Linked DNA regions of Mytilus edulis. The protein of the gene in region 3 binds, or shares a complex with, the protein of the main gene of each other region. Links are inferred from orthologs where the notes say so. Each region holds a gene or a part of one and is shown on either strand. Other genes may lie near its edges. The genes, in order: DNA polymerase delta subunit 4-like, DNA polymerase zeta catalytic subunit-like and DNA polymerase delta subunit 2-like.

Region 1 (7,042 bases), on a different chromosome or scaffold from region 3:
AAATAAACTGACAACCCCATTGCCAAAAATGAAAAAAGACAAACAGACAAACAATAGTACACATGACACAACATAGAAAACTAAAGAATAAACAACACGAACCCCACCAAACTAGGGGTGATCTCAGGCGTTCTGGAAGGGTAAGCAGATTTTGCTCCATATGTGGCACCTGTCGTGTTGCTTATGTGATAACAAATCCGGTAAATAGTCTTATTTGGTAGGTTACATTCAAGAAAGGAAAGGGGGTTGTAGTTACGACGTAAGGAACATATCCGATATCATTTGTGAAACAGTTATTCCATAACGGTCAAAGAAAAAATCTTGATCCAATTTAAAGAGAAACAAAGCTATATATCAGCTGTGTGGAGTATGATAAACATGTTAAACATTACTTGTAATTGATATCGAAGTTACTGAATGTCAAAACTAGAAACACCTGAAGATTAATAAATTTGGGGAAAACTGTTGCTTCTGGTAAACTATATCCCAAAGGAAAACGTCATTGAAACTATTTCCCTATGAACTTTCACTTCAAAGTAGAAGTTGAGGTAGCCTTATTTTAAATATTTCTAAAATAAAATTCGTCAATAAAAAAATATGATTTAATATGTGTATTTATTGCATAGCAATATCATATTTCCCACAGAAAGTAACCAAAAGTTAGCGTGCAATAAGTTCCAATATTGCACTAGTGCAATAAATCTTCAAAATTCATGACGTCATCAAGACAAAATCTTAGTTTAAACTAATTTTTACTTACAAATATTATATTGCTATTCAATAAAAGGATTATCGCATGAATATTGGGGAATATTGTCCCTCGTAGAACATATATTGCACTCGCAAGCTCGTGCAATATAAAATTTTACTCTATTCCCTAATATTCATGCAATAACCCTATAATATGAACTTTTTTGTCTCACAATATTATATATATCATGTATATATGAACTATTTTTCTGACAATATTATATATATCTCACCATTCTGTGTATTCTTCATCGTCTAAATGTTTATCTAGGATTTCCTTTACAATGACTGGAGGATTCAGGCCGTGTTTATCTGCTCTCTTCCATCTTTCCATTCTTGTTATTCCTAAAATGTACAATGTATGTAAAAGGTTAACTTTATTGACTTTATGTGGTATGTTGAACATTGGATGATGAAAGCTATATTAGAAGCATATTCTTTTTCATGAAATAGACTATGAGTGAAATTACCTAAAATAAATAAGATTGGAATTTTCCACGAGACACAGATGATGTATTTTACACTATAAAGGGTCATAACTCATTAACTGTAAAAGTGATTCTACCTAAATTCGTGCTTGGTCTGTGGTTTGTGGTAATAAGTATTGGGTATAAGGTTCATAACATTTGAATGAGACAAACTGAAGTTAGGGAATAGAAATGAAAAATTTGTTTTGGTAAAGGGGCACAACTCTAGAAAGGTAAAAGTGAACCCCACCCAAATTCAAACTTTATCTGTCCTTTTGTGGTAATAAGTATTGTGTATTAGTTTCATAACATTTGGTTGTGGCAAGCTAAAGATAGAGAACGGAACCAATTTCGGGATGTATGAAAGTAGGGACAGATGTACAGTTGGACAAGGGTAAAACTAAATACCCTCTCCACTTCAGGGGCAAACAAATATGAATTTGTTTAATGATGGAATATCATTCTATAAAACAATATATACCTGAACATGGACCAAATTCTAATGTGACATCAAAATGCCTCAGTATTTTCAATTCATCTTCTACATCTGTTTTACTTGTGCTTGGATGGCCATCTGGAATACAAAATAAAGATAATGCACATGTGAAAATAAATCAATGAAATTCATATCATTCAACAAAAACTTAATACCTGGACATTTTTGTAATTGTACATGTTCAACTTTTGCTGTTAATATTTTCATCTCAACTGGTCTTTTTGGAAAATTACACTTTATATACTTCTGTATTAATATGAGTTAGAATTTATGACTAAAATCAGCATAGACCATCGAAAGAACATCTGATTCAAAAATTTAATAACACTTTTAGTCCTTTGGGTGATATTGGATCTCAACAATGATTTCAGTATGTACACTAAAGAGATTTATCCTGCCTACCTGACCTTAAATAAAGCTAATACCATGGAAGTATTATATTGACAGTAACTCCAACGAAAAATTAGCACATTCCCATCCCACTGATTTCTTTAAGAAAATAAAAGGTTCCGACTCAGTTTGACAAGTTCGTGATAACTCCTTTGTGGGGTATCTGTGATGCCACCTTCGCCTGTTCTTTTAACTGAAGCTGGTCTTATCACTTGATTTAATATTGATTGTCTTATCTACCTACCAATGTAAATAAACACGGAAACTCCCGTGGTTATTTGTTAATTGCCACATAAACAACAACACCTGTTTCCGTTCAATAAATGAAGAACAACGCTGAAAAGATCGAAAAAATTGGTCCATATTTAACAGAATGACATAATAAAATTAACTGCATTCGGAAAAAGGGCAAGCTTATTTTTAGTTTTGTTGAGTATGTTTTAATCATTGGAACTTGGAAAACAGGAAATATCCGATTATGAAAATTACATGATTCTGAAGTAAGAGTGGTAACAGAAAATAATGTGATGCGCTTGTAGTGTGCCAGATGGTGCCAGATAACTCAAATTTTAGTTTAAAGATTGTAAAATTTTATCGAGTGTTACACAAATATTTATGGTTTTCTCTATCGTAAAATGTTATTAACTTATTTATCAAATATGTTTTAAAGACTAAAAGAGGTTAATAATTACACACATGTGATGACCTCTACATAGCAATATCAGGTTACGAGACATGCAGATGAATTGTTACACCTTTTATGATAATTCCAAAGTTGTAAACAACCTTAAATATTCAACCTAGTCCGAGATTACTCGATCTGACGTCTGACAGATTTATTTTTAAGGATGGCTTTTAATATTTCTGGATGCATTTAAAGAACGATCACCATGATGGGCCCTATGCAGTTTAATTTTTTTTTATCATGGAAACCAAATTAGAATTTATTTATGTGTTTAAAAGCTTAACAGTTCTGAACTGTGACATCTTACACTGTATGCTAAGCAATTTATGTTTCTGTTTCTTGTTTAATTGCATGAAATATTTGCCATTGGACTTTTAGTAAACAATAAATCAAAATATTTGATATTTTCTTCGGATCAAAGCTTTTTAACCCCGTCCCCCCGGCCAACTTTTGGATTAAATTTTTGTTTGAAATTCTTTCATTAAACACTTTATTAAAATATTTGTCAAAGTTAGCAGTAAAACGCGATAATAATTACTGATAAAAACTTTTCCTTTTACTTTACATGAGAATTTTATGATTTTCAAGCCTACCATGTATATAACAGTTACGCATGTTTAGTCAATGGCTCTCTCATGAATAAAAATCTTACTATTTTAAAATTGATTGCAACTTAAACTGAAATGTTTATGGCTTGTGAGTATTTTTACTCTTCAGTTTTTTTTTTTTTTTTTTTTTTTTTGGTGAAAACAGTCGCGGGATTTCGTTTATTTTCTTTTTATTTGTTTTTAAGCAGCAAATCCTGTAAAAACTAACATATTTGTCATTCACATGGTCGGTAAATGTCATTTCCTTGAATTAAGTACACATCTGGTTATTTCGGTATGTTCTGTAATTACAATCATTCACAAGGTTCCAAAAAATTGATCGGAACCCATGCATCCATAAGACATGTCAAGTTCATTATAACAGATACTTAACGATTTTGCGGCATCGCACTATAAACGTTTGAAGTCCGCTTGTTAGAGTTCCTGTCAATATAATACTTCCATGCTAATACTAACAATGAACACTGCCCTTTCCTGGATCTTGATATCTATATCCTTAATGGGAAGCTAAATACCAGTATTTATGATAAAAGAGGTGACTTTTCATTTCCTAATGTTAGTTATTCATTTTTAGAATTGTCACCATCTTTTGGTGTTTATATATCTCAACTTGTTAGATTGTGTATGTAACAATATATATGTACAATTTGGAAATTAGTATGGCGTTCATTATCACTGGACTAGTATACATGTATATTTGTTTAGGGGCCAGCTGAAGGACGCCTCCGGGTGCGGGAATTTCTCGCTACATTGAAGACCTGTTGGTGACCCTCTGCTGTTGTTTTTTATTTGGTCGGGTTGTTGTCTCTTTGACACATTCCCCATTTCCATTCTCAATTTTAATTATATGGTTAATTACATGTGTACATATACACTATTACCAGCTTACCCATTTACCCAAGAATCTGTCCTGCTTGAATTATTGACATCATACAACAACCACTTTTCTATTGTGGTGTCAGATATTTTGTATTTTCATGTCAACATTTTACAGGAACTTGTGTGATGTCCAGTAATGGCGGACACATAGCGATAAGGTGTATTACAATAAATGAGTTAAAATTACCAATTTCTAAGTTGGATTACATTTCTGAATCCCTTTTGGGATCCCCTGAGTCAGTAGCCATTTTCTGATTTGGTCACTCTCAAAGTGGTTAAATCAAAAAATTGCTCTGCAGTCAGAATCCCTAAAGGGGTCTATCATTTTTTATATGCTTCTAGTTTTTATAATTATCAATATATTTTACGTATATATATAAATTCAGCTTTTAAAATACCATTTGTTGGTTCCTTTTTATCTTTTCCTTTAGGAGTCTTGACAGACTTGAAAGAATTGGTAATGAAAGAACGTGTTGCCATTTTCATTGTTCTGCTTCTTAGGTTATGTTTACAGGTTATAACTTGACACTTTAATTTGCAAACTCAGCTTCCTTCAAAAGCGAAAGTAGGTAATGTTTATCTCGGTTTATCTAATGCTCCAAATATTAGACGAAACGAAATTGGTGAAATCTCTATTTTTAAGATAAAAGAAAATTTTAACTTTTTTTTTAAAATTTTACATGTTAACATATTATATATGAGAAGAATTGAATTATGTTTATCATGAATAGGATATAATTTTTATAAAATTGTGTTTAATAATTTCAAAAATTCGATTTTTATTTTAAAATCTTTAAAATTGAAACGATCGTAAATCTTCGGCGATATCCACACAAAATATGAAAAAGTAAGAGGAATATCGAAAAATATTTTCCAACTCATCAGCATGGCGGATTCTGCAGAAAACTCAGTACCGGCGTTAGCAGTTACTGCTGCAGTTGGAGCTGTAGTCCTATTATTCGTTCTTTTATGCAGTGTCGGAAGACGTGCAGACAAAAAGGATGAAGATGGTATTATTTTATTTTTGGGCTTAAGTGATAAAATTGAGAATACAAAAAAATATGGAATTTTACCATTAAAGCTTTAGCTTTATACTCATTGAGAAGAAATTTGAACTGTTCAAGTGCATTATTCTTACTTAAAAACTATTATTCATGCACAGTTGTAAATGCTCTTTTGTTCCGACGTTGGAAAGAACTAGCCGAAAAGTTCCGAAGGAACTTATTAATTAGTTACTTTGTTCTTCCTCTGGTTTAAAAGTTCTCCCGGAACAAAGTGACTAGTTGAAACCAACGGAACATATCAAGCAGTTAGCATGGTTAGAAAGTTCCTTTTTGCCAAATTAGTCAAAACCGGAACTAACAAACTAGCCCAAAAGTTCCAGCGGAACTTATCAACCAGTCACAAAGTTCCATTTGGAGAATTGGTGTAAAGTAAAAGCGCAAGATATTATATTTGAACCTTTCAAAGTGGAACCAAGATACTGATTACAAAAGTCAAAAGGAACTTATCAACTAGTCGCAAAGTTCCTCTTTGGCAAATCAGTCACAACCGGAACTAACAAACTGGCCCAAAAGTTCCTCCTCATATGGGTACTTTTAAAAATATCAATTTCAGATTAATGTATGAAAATAAATTAGAACTTATTCCGTTATGAAGGCAACATTCTGACCGAAGGAGCTAGTTGTTCTGTTCCACCAGAACTATTCAACTAGCTACATTGTTCCGAGACTTTTCAAATAGCTACTTTTTTCCGGAACTTTTCAACTGCACTCGGAATAAAGTAACTAGTTGAAAAGTTCAACCGGAACAGAGTAACTGACGGAACATAGTGGCTGTTACACAGTCACTGTGCAAGATTAGGGCAAATTATTAAAATTATGTTGACAGATACTTTTTTTAAAGTTCATCATAACAAACGCACAAATATGGCTGTATAAACGTGCCAAAAAATTACTCTGAGTACAGACTTACTTGTGAAGTTGGAAAAGTTTTAATGCCTAGCATCCACTAGATATATAAAATTTAAATGCATTTTGTGTTTCAGCATGTTCAGAAAGATAAAATTTCTTTTGGATTTTGACGGGCATTTTATTCCCCTCGTGCATATGGTGTGAAAATTAACTAAGTTGTGGTACAACTTTGAGATGCTCCCTCAGGTAAAAAATGGGTTTGTATTGTTTTGATTGTCCTTACTTGACATGGACAAGAGGTATCTTCACAACTACAGGTGAGTAAAAAAAGAGTTTATCTGAGTCAGTGAGTGGACAGTATCAAAGTAATTCAGGTGTTTGTTTATTTTTACACCTTCTGCAGAAAGGAAAAAAATGCCCATCAAAAACCAAGAAAGATTTTATCTTTCTTAAATATAAAATGCATTTTACTTTTATATATCTAGTGGATGCTAGGCCTTAAAACTTTCCAATCAGCACAAGTAAGTCTGTACACAGAGTAGTTTTTGAGGTGAAAATACAGCCATATTTGTCCATTTGGTATGATGAACCTTAACTTTGGTCACTGTCATGATGGTATCGACTATCGGGTCTGTTCGCCCTGATTACACTTTCGCCCTGGGTCCATTCGAACAGGTACTAGGGCGAACACGAATCAGGGTGAACCAACCTGGATTCCTGTCAAGACTAGGTGACTTGAAGTGTCATGTAAAATTGTTGTTATGTCAAATTCTTTATAAAAAAAATATGCTTATTAGATATGTAACTTAAAACAACCACTGAAGAGTTTCCTCATGTTGGGTAGGCAGATATAT
Region 2 (7,042 bases), on a different chromosome or scaffold from region 3:
ACTGACAACGCCATGGCTAAAAATTCAAAGGACAAACAGACTAACAATAGGACACATGACACAACATAGAAAACTAAATAATAAACAACACGAACCCCATCAAAAACTAGGGGTGATCTCAGGTGCTCCGGAAGGGTAAGCAGACCCTGCTCCACATGTGGCACCCGTCGTGTTGCTTATGAGATAAAAAAAATCCGGTAAATAGTCTAATTCGGTAGGTCACATTTATGAAAGGGAAGGGGATTGTAGTTACGACGTAAGGAACATATCCGATATCATTTGTGAAACGGTTATTCCATAACGGTCAACCAACTCGTGATGGCGTCCGTAAAATTTACGAAGAGATGATTTCAACTTCACCATTTGGAACTCTTGATTTAAAAGCTTCCTTGTGAGCAACAACCCTCTATCAAGAAAAGCATGATAAGAAATGCAAGCACGGGAATATCGTATCAATTGGGAGATATATACACCGTATGCAGGTGCTGCTGGAATGTTGCTACTTACAAATGGAAAGTTCACAATTGGAAAGCTGAAATCATCTCTTTTGTCGTAAAGTTTTGTTTTCAATCGACCCTCATTGTCAATTTCTAGATGTAAGTCAAGATATGAGGCCAACTTAACTGTATCTGTTGTATCCTTTATCTCTAGTTCAATGGGATAGATGCGTTCGACATAGTCACCAAATTTTGAATTATTTAGTGAAAGAACATCACCTATATAGCGGAAAGTAGAGTTAAAGGATACTGCTTACTTCTTGTCTTTCTTCCTAAGAAGTTCCTGTATGAAGTCCGCCTCATAATAATAAAGAAACAAATCGGCAAGAAGAGGGGCACAATTCGTTCCCATTGGAATGCCGATAGTCTGTTGAAAAACACGTCCTCCGAACGTAACAAATATGTTGTCAATCAAGAAATCAAGCATCTTGATAATGTTAGTTTCGGAGAATTTTTAGTTTGAATCAGAGTGATCCTTTACAAAGTAAGATTTATCCCTTCCTAAGACAAGAAACTTGTATATTCGTTGGTCATTCTTTTTGATGAAACAAAGCAATACCAACTCTTTCAATTTGTATTTTAGTTTGGAATGTGGAATACTTATATAAAGTGTAGAAAAGTCAAATGTTTTAATACTATTATAAGATGAAAGAGAGTTAGATTGTATGTACTCTAAAATATCTTTGGAATTTTTAAGTATCCACATCTGATTCACGCCACCTCTAGAATAGGCAGTTTCACAATAACTTTGATTGCCGAGTGATAAAATAGATGTTAATAATTTAGAAAGAGGTTTCGTGGAGCACTTGGAAGACCCAATATACCGTTGTTTGTAAGGACACTTATGCAGTTTAGGTATCCAATACAGTGATGGAAGATCCAGTTCATCATCTTTGGTTGAAATTTCAAAGGAACATAGAACAGACCTATGATTATCCAGGAATTCCTCCTTTGGTAAGTGTCGTGAGGGTATATGTTGGGTTTCCAAGTGAATTGTCAATACCTAATTCGTTTATCAAGCAGTTGTAGCAGACAGAGTTATTAGTTAATTTTTAGCTCCCTTTGGTAAAACTCTAAATTTCATATTTGATGTATTTCATTGTTAATTAATTTACATGAAGCTTATTAAGGATATATTTGTTAAATTAAATAGCTTTTTCTATTTTAATTCATTGGTTAAAGATATTTATTTATATTATAAAGTTTAATATTTGCATCGTTGCAAATTCTTTGGTTACCTTCTGTAAGAAATTTATATATTTTATATAAAAAGTTTTAGATTCTTCATTTGAACTCTGGGATGATTGACATTTAGTTGAACCATGGACATTCCAACCAAGATTCATGAGGATAGTGCATTTGCTACATGCCTATAGTACGGGTTAATTTGAAGTGTTTAATGCTCCATTTCTACACGTTTGGCTTTACATAATAAAAGTTGTACTTTGTTGAATAAATTATATATTGTTTTCAGTTTTTGGTTTTCATTTACTTAGATATATTATAGCGCATCACTTTTGGCATCAGTCGTTTTCCGCACACATCAGTTTACAAACTAGAATTAGCTGTGGTCCGCATACCCGAATCTTAGGCAAAATTGTTCCTGCTACACAGTTAATGTACAATGTAATGAGTTTTACACACAAAAACGATGTTGTTTGGGGCTTTATCTGCGGGGACAACAACATATTTGTCGTGAAGGTGTTAAGTGTTTTGCAACATTAGGGTCTCTAAAGATTGACGTAGCATGGGCATTGATTGAACCATTCAGTTTCTTAATTCTGATTTGTATCAACGACCTCACTGCCTTAATCCATTCGGAAAGAGTGTCTACGTCTTCCTTCTCACGCTTATCCCATTGCCTGGCATAGTTCTCGACTGAATCCATCAAAATTTTAAAATTGTATTTCCAATTGATGGATTTCGACTCACGATATTTTGGACCTTTCGTTAACACATTTTGTAGGGAAGTGTTATTAACAATGTTAAAACATGCATAACACAGCTCACATTCTCATATATCTACATTCATAAATTTATAAATGTCATTTCGACTAAACGACGCCATGTAATTGTTTGTTTTGTGCCTCTCCCGTCTAAACCACCTATTTAAAAAGAAGAGGTGGAAATAGAACCAGAAGATCTTCCCAATGAAAAAAAAAACAAAAAAAGAATGTCTTCTGGTTCATTACTGAAGAACAAAAGAACACGCCCCTGTTAATTGTAAATGGGAACGTCTAAACACCGCTCAGGCCGACCTCCTGGGTGCACCCAGGACCCTGTATAGTCATCGTATCTGCACACAGGATGGATGTATATATATTCGTTATACGCTTCTTATTTTCGAGTTAATTTTTGGTAGAATTTGAAATCGAACTTAGATAGAAATAATGAGGACACATGTCACTGATTACACAACCATTGACAACTACTGATCACTACTGAGCCGGGTTTCATACCGAAGTCCGGGTCCGGAGTCCGGTCCGGTCCGGTCCGGGTTTCAGTACGTACCACAAGTTTTCACATTGACACGGATAGACACGAGATGGCGCTGCATATAACAATCACAATCAGCATTCGATGGTCAGTAATCTCATAAATTAAACAACACACAAATCATTTCCAGAAGCATGCATCATTTTTCATACTATTGTTTATTTATTTGAATAGAATGCAGACCGTCACACCAAGACATATGCACGGTACTGTTAATCCGTGACATATGTACTTATGCCTGCTTTGTGGATTTTTCAGAAAGCTTTGACACTGGTATCAAGTTTATAAATTTACCATCTGCGGGAGTAGGTACTTCATTATAAAAATAACACATAGCTGAGGGGGGTGATAGAGCTGATTGGTAGCCCGAGAGGTACCTCGAGAAAGCATTGTCAACCGTGGCAAAGCCAATGTTGACTGCTTTTTCGAAGGGTACCAAACTGCTCTATCACCACAGGAATCAGAAGTTCTATCAATAAAATTCTGTAAATAATAGGAGAAGCTCTATTTATAGTCGACTTTACAGAATTTAATTGATAGAACTACGAGAAGCTCTATTGATAGTCGATTTTATTATTTAAAGAATTTTATTGATAGAACTTCCGATTCCTGAATCCTGTGCTATCACACTCTCAGCTCTGTGTTTATTTACATGTAATTTATTATACTGAATGTCCTATCATTATTGTCTTTTACAGATGAACTTTTTAAAAGTATTTTCTATGACATGACACATAACAACTTACACGTATTAGAAGTGAAGCAAGATGTTTTATTTTTTTATTTTGACAGTCAAATGATGCAGCTTAACGCTATTCCCGGGTGACCCTAGAATCTGTCCTACTTGAAGTATTGACATCACAAAACAATAACTTTTCCATTGTGGCATCATTTGTTTTGTATTATGACGTCACATTTTTACGGGAACCTTTGAGATATCCAGTAATGGCTGAGAAATAGCAATAAGGTGTATAGAATCTGAGCCAAAACGTAGAAATTACTCATTGTCTTTAATAACTTGATGTAAATTCAATTCATTCTTCTTTAAAATGTAAATTTTTGATTGGTCTGGATGAGAGGGTGACATTAAAAAATATTGTCACCAGCTCAGTCATATACTTGATAGAGTAATTTAACACCCTCGTATTAGCCAATCAAAATATGGCATTAAAGTGAGGTATAATAATTTATAATTATTAAACACATGTATATTTTGTATCAATCAAGTAAATCTTGTGTTAAGAATTAATCCAGACAAGAGTTAAATGTAAACAAGGGGACAATTTAGTCTAATCTGTAATATTCAAGTAAATTATGTTCATTGGGATTGCCAACCTTGGAAAGAATATAGTAGGGATAGAAATGATATGATACAAGTGTTGCATGGTAACTGGATGATTTGAAGTCTGCGTTAAATGTTGACAATTGGAACCCGAATAAATGTTTATGTTAATGTCAACTGCACACACCTAAATAAGTTTTTTTTATAAGTATAATATATATAAATATATTATTATGAGACTATTATGCCATAAGAAATTGCATTACGACAATCCAAGAAGAGGGGTTAGTAGAAGCCATTGGCTTATTTAAGTAAACGGAGATCCCGAGATAAAGATATAATATATATAAAGTATAAATGACTTGCCAGAGTATTTACAAAAAAGTGGAGACCCTGTGAATTGCTTATTATACACAGACGATTTTGTCCTTAAGGTTCATGTAGGGTATAAACTTTTTTTTTTTTAACAAAGGATTTCTCTACTTTTTTCTAAAAATAAACTTAATCCTATACTTAATAGAAAAGTACAATAAAAATGTGGGGTTACGTTTAATCATGTAAGCCCACAATCTGCCTTCAAAAGAAGTATGCAGTTTTGTCAAGGTACTTTTTTTCTGTTGAACTAATTGGAGCAGAAAACATGGATAAGGTAAAAAAGATCTATATTACAAAAATTGCTAAAATTTTACAATTATAATTTAGTTTTAGTACAGCTTATATGAAGAAAAAAAAAAATAGGTCACCATTGAGTTGAGAAAGATTTTCAATATTAATGCAAAAAAAGGCATTATTTCACCAAAGGGAGATAATTTGGAGCTTTTTCAATGATATAAACATTTTAAAAATCATCTGGGGCCAAAATGAATTGATTTTTTTGGTTGATTTAAATGATTTTTGTACCATATCATAATATAAATTTACAACTAATACTGTAATAAGTTAAATTTGAAATAAAAAAAATATGTTTAAATTTTTGCTGAATTTTTGTACCCTGGAGCCTCTGTAAAAAGTAAAATCACAAAAGTGATCTTAGGAAAATTCTAAAAGGAAATTCAGTAATTAAATGGCAATATCAATAGCTCAAACACATAAAACGAATGGATAGCAACTGTCATATTCCTGACTTGGTAGACATTTATTACACAAAAAATAAAATATCTCTGTTCATTCAAGTAGGAAATGATCATAATTTATAAAGTTGTTACTCCCAATCACCATCAATTACCAAAGACTTTTAATTGATGTGCACTTTGTTGTGTGATGCAATCAATTATTTTGATTTTTTATATTTTTTTATTTAAAGTCTTCATTTGAATGACTTTTTAGATCTGTTTGGAATGTTAAAGGTGTGATGTTTTCACTGAGAATAGTTGCTACTGACCATTATTTGTGTCCTCCTATCCCAGAATTGGATGTTCGATACTCTGATTTGACACAGTCAGAGATATGGAGAGTCCCTGTAATTAGGGTATATGGATCAACTCCAAATGGTATGTATGTCAAGTAAATGTATCAGAAGAATCCTACATGTACATGCCTTAGTCACCCTATCTTTGGTTGACAATCTTGATACATTGTACTGGTAATAAATAAATAGTTGAAAACTATAAATTTTATTTAAACTTCTTACTAGAAAAATACTTTTTTAAGGTAAATTACAAATTCATATAAACCTTTATGCAACTTTACTTATACCAATTCTGTTCTGTTCTGAACTTCTGGTATATACCTCCGTTTTCTCAGATCACTCCACTTATCAGATGAGCATTTTTTAATTACTTAACTTAAAAAGAGGATATCTTTTATATACAATGTATTTACAATATGATAAAATATAATTTGAAAACGAAATAAGTTAGTTAAGTTGCATTAAATAAGGGTTTAAAATGTCTTTGGTGCGTTAAGGTTCTAGTCGATAAGTGCTCTGCCAAGGCTAATGTTAAAAATATATAACAGTATCTTGTATGCTAATATTTTTAGACTGAACCAGTTAGCTTGGCATTTACCCAGAGGTCAAATTATAATTTTACATATTGGTGTTACACTTTTATTGTCAAGGCTTAACTTCATTTAAAAGAAAGGAGGAATGTTTGCTTTAGCACTGTCAAACATTTTATAATTATAAATCAGATTTAAATATGATCTGACTTTTATTGATAGGTCAGAAAACATGCATGCATGTTCATGGAGTGTTTCCTTATTTGTATGTGCCATATGATGGAACCCAACCATGGGACCGTTATCTGAAGTTATTTGCTAGAAGTTTGGACAAAGCTTTGAATGTTAGTTTGAATAAAGTCAACTCTAATACACAGCATGTTTATAAAATCAACCTTGTGTCAGGGATGTAAGTATGCAAATGTATGAATTAGAAAATGTGTATTTAAACAATTGTATTATTGCATCTTTTGACTTTGTATTGTTTGTGTACGCTCAAAAACTTGTGATATTTTTATGCCCCACCTATGATAGTTTATAACTTTAGGTTGCCTCAACCAAATGTTATGAAACTTATACATACTGCTTATTACCACAAAACACAGATCAAGTATGAATTTTGGTGGCGTCTCTTTTACAGTGCTAGAGGTTGCATTTCTGTAAATATTGACAATGCAATTTCCCATAGGAACTCCTTTTACGGCTAAAACTGTACCACTTTTACTATGAAGTTTTGAAAAAAATCTTATCCTAGAATTGAAAGTTCATATGCACCACAATTTTTTTCAAAGGTCAAAATATAGGGCTGTGCGGCATATTTTCAACGTTT
Region 3 (7,042 bases):
CACATTTCACAGATTGGGCAACTGGATGAATTTGGATGTGATAACATAAATAAGTTGAATCTTTTATACAACTGTATACCTGCCATCAAGAGTATACCCACAAAAAACAAACTACAAAAACTGCTCTTATCTTTTCAACAATGCACTTTTATTTAACATTTAAAATTGTTAAAACTGTTTTCAAAAATAAACTAAATAGTTAATTCACAATTCAATGATCCTGCTAGTTGCTAGTTGGCATCTTATTTTCCTACAACTATCTCAGAAAGTATTCACAAGCATTTAAATTTCTAAATACCTGTCACTGAAGTCTGTATATCTAGTTTTCCAATTAATAAAATTCTTTGTAACTCATCTTCAAGGATCAATTTATCATTACTATCTGTGTACTTAGACTTAATTGGTTGAGGCATCAAATTATGCTGAAAAAAATACATTCAATACAGTGTAACCTTTCTAATCTGACACCTGAGTATTGCAACATCCTGCTTTAACCGACACATTTTCATGGTCCCAAAATATGACTTACCTCGCAGAAAAAACCTAAGTATTCCAACACCCTACTTAATTTGATATTATTTTCTGGTCCCCCAGTGTCGGATTACACATGTTGCACTGTACTCATTTTTGTGTATTTTAAACCTGTAAGGGTATATCTTAAAATTCCATTGGACTAGTGATTGGAATACAAGTCTCAACATGACCCACTTCAATTTGACTGTGAGAAAACAAAGATATTAATTATAATGTATTCAATCTCAGCAAATGTGTATCAAAAATTAAAAAAAAAGCCTACTTGATGTACATAGTATTTCTGTCTTCATTTCTGCATACAATTCATTCTGCTGATGCAGATTTTGATGCTCAGTGATGAAATGTATGATATAATTACTGTGGCAATATGTAGCTTTTCAAAAAATGTATATAGTATCATTCGCCTAGTTATTCTTTAGTTATTCAAATTTTGCTGCATTTATGGGCAACAGTGAAATATTGTCTAACAACATGAAAAAGTAACCTTAATTTACAGTAACTAGAACTAAGAATGAACTCATAAAAGGATAACTGCACTGAAATACTTAAAATATATATTATCTCCCCTTTAGCTTGAAGCAGAGGGAATACATCATTTAATACACCGCTTTAAATATGAGCTTCAACTAACATCCATCAAGCCGTTTGACAGAAGTAGGCACATTTTTTAAGCTTGGTGGTAATCTGATGAGTCAAGCATTTTCCAACTGTTTGTTTGAAAGTAGTAATGTTTCACCTCTGTACCAAGTTGTGGGAGGTACAATGTATGACTGCTCACCATCACCTTTAACTCGCCATATTATTTAAGTGCATGTCCAAAATCAGGAATCTGTATTTCAGTGGTGGTCAATGATTGCTTTCTGCTATATTTTTCTCTCGTTTGTTTTAGCATAAACATGATAAATCAGACAGTTCATTTTCTCTTTTGTTGTCATGCTGGAGCCTTTTTAAGCTTACAACATAGAATATACATATGCTTTTCTCATAGTTGAAGGCTGTATGTGGACCTACACCAAAGAGGCAGTACTTTGTACTAAACCATACTTTTACTCTGCTTAACAAGAGTTTGGTACTGCCTAATTTAGAAATTAATTTTCATACAAGATATTCATAGAGAACATAGAAAATTTCTTGATAAAATCAGAAACGTACCAGTCCACTTAAACAATAATGAAACCCTCCGAGTCTGTACCTACATGTATATAAACAAATGTACAATATAGACAACAGTTTTGATCATCTTTCTAAAACACAAAACTTTATTCAACTAGCTACATTATATGCCATTACCAACGTTTATTCTCACGTTTAAGTTTTGAAAGTGAATTTGATGTACTTGAATTCAATCAAGTCAATTATACCTCTTCACTTAATTCTTTCAGGATACTAGGTCTAAGTTCCATGTGCTTAAATAGGGTACCAATTATAACACATTTCTCATCACTTTGCAACTCATGCAACTTCTTTATATTTACATCTTTTCCTACAAATAAAAATATAAAATACATGTGAATTCATATACAGTTATCCAATCTAGATTAACTTAAATGGTGAACAATTGTTTAAACTGATTCATGGATTTTTCAAGATTAAAAAAATATTGAACCAAGACTTTTAAAATTGGAATTAGAAATGTGCAACCCAGTCTGCACTGAGATGAGCAACATGATGGGTTCCACTTGTGGAGCAGGATCTGCTTACCTTTCTTTGGCACAGGAGACCTCCCCCCCCCCCCCCCCCCCCCTGTTGGTGAGGTTTATGTTGATCAGTCTATACATGTAGTTTAATAGTTCTGTTGTTTTGTATACTGATTTATGTCGCTTGTTAATTACTTGCCATTGCATTGTCCATTTGTTCTGCACTTATACAAGTTTGATTTATACCCAGGGTTCAATTATATATATGTGCTAAGCAAGTAAAATCTAAGATGGGCAAGTGAAACACATCATGGAGTTGTTCCCTGGGCAATATGAAATTTTGTTCTGGTGTATAACTAAGGTTAGACATTGATTTCTCAGAGGTGTTTAATTATTGGATAACTATTATCGTTTTCTTTATTTGTTTCATATGCATATGCCTGAAAAATCATACACATCGTTGTTTCCCCCACATAATTCTATGTCAATTCCCGTGTGTAAGTCAACATGCGACAATGTTTTATAATGATGAGCACCACCTGCACAGGGATTTCTGCTAGTATTGGCCATTGTTGGCGAAAGGGAGTAAATACAATGTACAAAGATCCAACCAGAATGGGTTTTGCAAACGACTTTTCTGTTGAAATATAAATTAAAGTAGAAAGAAAATATGTCAACTGGTTCAATTTCTACATCATGTACATGTACATTTGATTTTTTTTTCTTTTTTATTTAAAAAGGTTAACTTTGTTTAAAAAAAAATGGTGTTTGAAATCATTAAATTATCTGCCAGGAGAAATCAAGAATGCAGGATTTGGCTTCTGACAGTTACCCCTCAGCTTCCCCACTTGGCCCTAGACCCCCTGCAGTAATTACAACAAGCTTTGCGTGAATATACATATTAATTAATGTTGTGATGTTGCACGACCAAAAGCATACTTATGAAAGTGAAAAGCGTTTCAAAAATACAGAACAAAGCAAAAACAACAACTCAGAAGGAGAAAAAAAACAGGAAAAATGGTGGCTTCTCTGGCATGTTCAAGTTATTTTTTACCCCACTTTGATTTAGCAGCATCCACTACTTTGTCCCTCATACTCCACAACCGTTCAGCATATAGATGAGCATATTGTCTTGAAAAGTTTTTTGATTTCAATCGAAATCTTTCCGACAAATCTTCATATTTACAATCAGATCGAACATAATCTGCATCAGATGATTCTGTCGGTTCAGTCAGTAGTTTTCCAACATTTGTAGTGCCTTTTTCGGGATTAAGTAACATGTTTGTGTGCTTATAAGAATAACAACTCTAGAAACTGAAAACATTCCCGCCAGCGGAACTCTTTAACGTGAAGGTAAATTCTTTGCATGATTTGACAACTTACCCCAAAAATGAATCAAGCAAATCAAAGAATGCAACGTCCAAAAATGAGTCCGACTATATTCAAGATTATTATACACCTTCTAATAATTCCTGTTTGTTTACTAAGTAATTGATAATTATGAGGATTCATCATTATTAGGAATATATAGGAAATATTAACCATTTTGGCATATACAATGACCTACAATGTATATGCAAAGGACACAGTGAGAAGCCATCTCTTAAAACTGTTTTCTTGATAACTTTCATACTGTGTTACACTGTTTGTCATAATGTGCAGTTGCCCATATTATTACACCCAAGTTTTTGAATTTTTTGCATGTGTTATAGAAATTTCATGGAACAATTTTTGGCTGTACAAACTGTTTCCACTTATAAATTTTTCACCTCTATGCCTCTTCCCACTTATTCTCAGATCCGGACATCCTGGCATTTAAATTTTTCAAGGGGTGATGCAGATAGGATTTCTCTAGATTTTTCATCTATTTGAAGGTGATAACTGATTATTTATATTGCTTATTATTTTTTAACCAGAGGATATAGTATGATTAAAATCAAAATAGAGACATTATATAGTGTCTTTAACAATATTAAGTTGGTAAAAGTACTAGATTCAACTGGTGTCAATATATATCAATTAAATTAATTTGCATTGAAGTCTATGGAAAATCTAGAGGATTCTTATCCGCATCACCTCTCAACATTGTTTACATAACACAAATGCTAATCATTGATTGGTCAGTTACATGTTGTGATGTCAATGCAGATCTGAGAATGTCTATACATAATCACAAGTCAAATGCTTACATAGTTTTTTTTTCCCACTTTGTAACATGATCTTATATTGCTACATTTAACTCTTTTAACCTTTCTTATCAAATTATAATAAAATCCACTGAGACTAGAAACAAGAGATATGGAGTATACACAGGACACTTTTCTGAAACATATACTACATTTAACTTATTCAAATACTGAATAACATTTTCATTTTGTGTTTTATTATGAGGTTTCAGTTGCAGGATTTTTTTGTTGTGTTTAAAACCCATTTGTGGTTTTTGGCTGGTTTCTGCTCTATGGTCGGGTTTTTGCCTCTTTGAAAAAAATCCCCTTTTCCAATCTCAATTTTAATTTTTACAACATATGTGCTAGATATGCAAATAGCAGCATTTGAGCATATGTGAAAGTGGTTTAATCCCACTGTATATTGTAACAAGTCAGGCTATCTGAACCAGTTACACTATTATTTTTTTTTAGAGGAGTCAGATGTTTGTGTTTCGTGTGGTCTTTTGTTCTGCCTAATATTTTTGGTGATTCCTCGTAATCTTCTTATGTTTTATTTCATATTCAATATTTCTATGGCTTAAATAAATCAAAACAGAATACAAATTGTTTATGTTTTATTTTTGTGCCTTTATGCATGTCAAAATTTAAACAAATATATCAATACAAAGAAGATCAAAGAAGAAAGAGTAGATCAATTCTGTGTCAAAATAATAAATAAACTCATGATTTTGTTAACATCAAGTTAAACACATTCCTTATAAAATTACCATTAAAACTTACTTACAGCCAAACTGGAAAAAAAAATCTTTAAAGAGGAAACAAGAACAAAAAATATGTCCTTTCAATCAATTTTGTTTTTCATTGAGTTAAAGAAAGCAAAAATTATGTGTCCAAAGTAGAAAATAGAGATCCATCATCATATCAATCGAAAGTTACTTTTTGAAAGACAAGGAAATTCAAAATATTCAATGAGTTCTTTTTGAATCATGAAAAACTGTACCTGAGAATTACATTTTTTAGACTTATAATGCTATTTGCAGGTTTGTCAAAGATTACACAAGGAGGAAAAGCAATATGCTTATCTCACACATTTTTTAGTTTTGTTTAACCTCTTCAATCAATTTATAAAACTGTAATTCTGATAACATATAGAGACATATTTTCTGAATAAAAGAATCAAGAGAATCAACATTTTTATATTTACAGTAAATAATACCTTTTAAAGAAATGTACAACTATAAAGAATAAATAATGTCATTGCAAAGAAGTTGTTTAAAGAGAGAGAAAAAAACCCACATCTTTGATAATCTTAATACATTTGTCTCCGTACACACACACATTCACACCATTTATTTGTAAAGGAAGACCATTCAAAGTTAATATTTCCAGAGTTTTGTATAGAGACAATTTTTGTGTTACCAAGATTCTAAAATGTGCATCTACAATATACTGTAGATTCAATATTTCTTAAAAAAATATTTTGTCTACAGATGAATAGCTGACACAAATCGATATACTTATCAATCATAATATAACATCAAACCTATCCTATTTAATTTTTATATTAAATACATTTTGATAAAGTGATTTATAAGATAAGATAAAGGGATAAAGAAACATAATCTTTACTTGTTATGAAAAAAAATCAACAACACATTACACACTAGAGTAAAGGGAGGTTATTCAATGCTCAAGTTCTTTTTAAAAAAGTATTCATTTTACAGCTGATTGCAATGAGCGTGTAGATAAAGGTAATATCTTTGGTTAGCTAGCTTGCTAGCTGAACCATGAAGTCATTATTAGGTTAGGTATACTTCCCTCCTTTCAAAGTAGTCCTACAGACAGATAAATTGGTTATGTCGGCCTAGTCTACCTCTAAAGGAGGGTAGTTTACCTGACCTAATAATGACTTCATGGTTCAGCTAACAAGCTAGCTAACCAAAGATATTACCTTTACTGACACACTCAATGGAAAAAGGCTGTATTACTTTACTGATTGACTTATTTTGACTTCTTTATGACACCATAACTTTATGATCTGATAAATAGCAAATATTAAATATTACATCTTAATGACACTTTAGATTCTTTATGCAGTTTATACGATAGTGAAAACAATAATGCTGGCAGTTATTTTGTCTTCTATTAATAAAATATGAAAATAAAAAGAAGCAAGCAGTTACATCATTTCATTTAAATGTGACAAGCAAAAAACAAGAAAAAAAAACAAAGGCTAAAAAATAACAATTGAAGACAAACCAAGCCTAAATATCAACATATGTAATTAAACATTCAATGAATGTCCTTAACCATGACGATGAATACATGATAATGATATATAGGTATATACAAATAAATTATCAATGTACAATGTCTATTATAAATGTGATCGGATAAAAATTACTTATATATATATATATATATATATATATATATATATATATATGTTATATATATGTTATAAGATTCCAGACAATAAATTAAAATAAATCATCCTATTTTGTGATGTTTTCCCTCTTCTTAAACATAACTTTCGGTGAAAATATTGTTATTACTACAGATCTTCTTGTGTTGCTATTGATGTCATGATCAGTTGAAACCATAAATAATTTTAATTCTAAGAGATAAAAAAATTCTGACATTCTATCTATTTATGCGACTGAAATCCGAACATAAATTCTCAAGAAAAATTAATAACTAATA

The links.
Region 1: DNA polymerase delta subunit 2-like (region 3) and DNA polymerase delta subunit 4-like share a complex: the UniProt entries of both Homo sapiens proteins name them as parts of the tetrameric DNA polymerase delta complex. The link is inferred for Mytilus edulis from reciprocal best matches to the Homo sapiens genes POLD2 and POLD4.
Region 2: DNA polymerase delta subunit 2-like (region 3) and DNA polymerase zeta catalytic subunit-like share a complex: the UniProt entries of both Homo sapiens proteins name them as parts of the tetrameric Pol-zeta complex. The link is inferred for Mytilus edulis from reciprocal best matches to the Homo sapiens genes POLD2 and REV3L.

Annotation. Positions count from the first base shown.
Region 1 is NC_092349.1:58,947,427-58,954,468, forward strand, and holds the start of DNA polymerase delta subunit 4-like, read right to left. Parts: upstream 4,868-7,042; 5' UTR 4,762-4,867; coding exon 4,674-4,761; intron 1,792-4,673; coding exon 1,699-1,791; intron 1,096-1,698; coding exon 984-1,095; intron 1-983. Other genes in the region: transducin beta-like protein 2, read left to right, coding at 5,162-5,285. UniProt on the Homo sapiens protein: As a component of the tetrameric DNA polymerase delta complex (Pol-delta4), plays a role in high fidelity genome replication and repair.
Region 2 is NC_092353.1:64,605,191-64,612,232, reverse strand, and holds the start of DNA polymerase zeta catalytic subunit-like, read left to right. Parts: upstream 1-2,973; 5' UTR 2,974-3,080; intron 3,081-5,578; exon of another isoform or gene 5,579-5,601; 5' UTR 5,602-5,626; coding exon 5,627-5,765; intron 5,766-6,435; coding exon 6,436-6,622; intron 6,623-7,042. UniProt on the Homo sapiens protein: Catalytic subunit of the DNA polymerase zeta complex, an error-prone polymerase specialized in translesion DNA synthesis (TLS). Lacks an intrinsic 3'-5' exonuclease activity and thus has no proofreading function.
Region 3 is NC_092352.1:36,394,599-36,401,640, reverse strand, and holds the start of DNA polymerase delta subunit 2-like, read right to left. Parts: upstream 3,529-7,042; 5' UTR 3,452-3,528; coding exon 3,226-3,451; intron 2,018-3,225; coding exon 1,896-2,017; intron 423-1,895; coding exon 299-422; intron 1-298. UniProt on the Homo sapiens protein: Accessory component of both the DNA polymerase delta complex and the DNA polymerase zeta complex.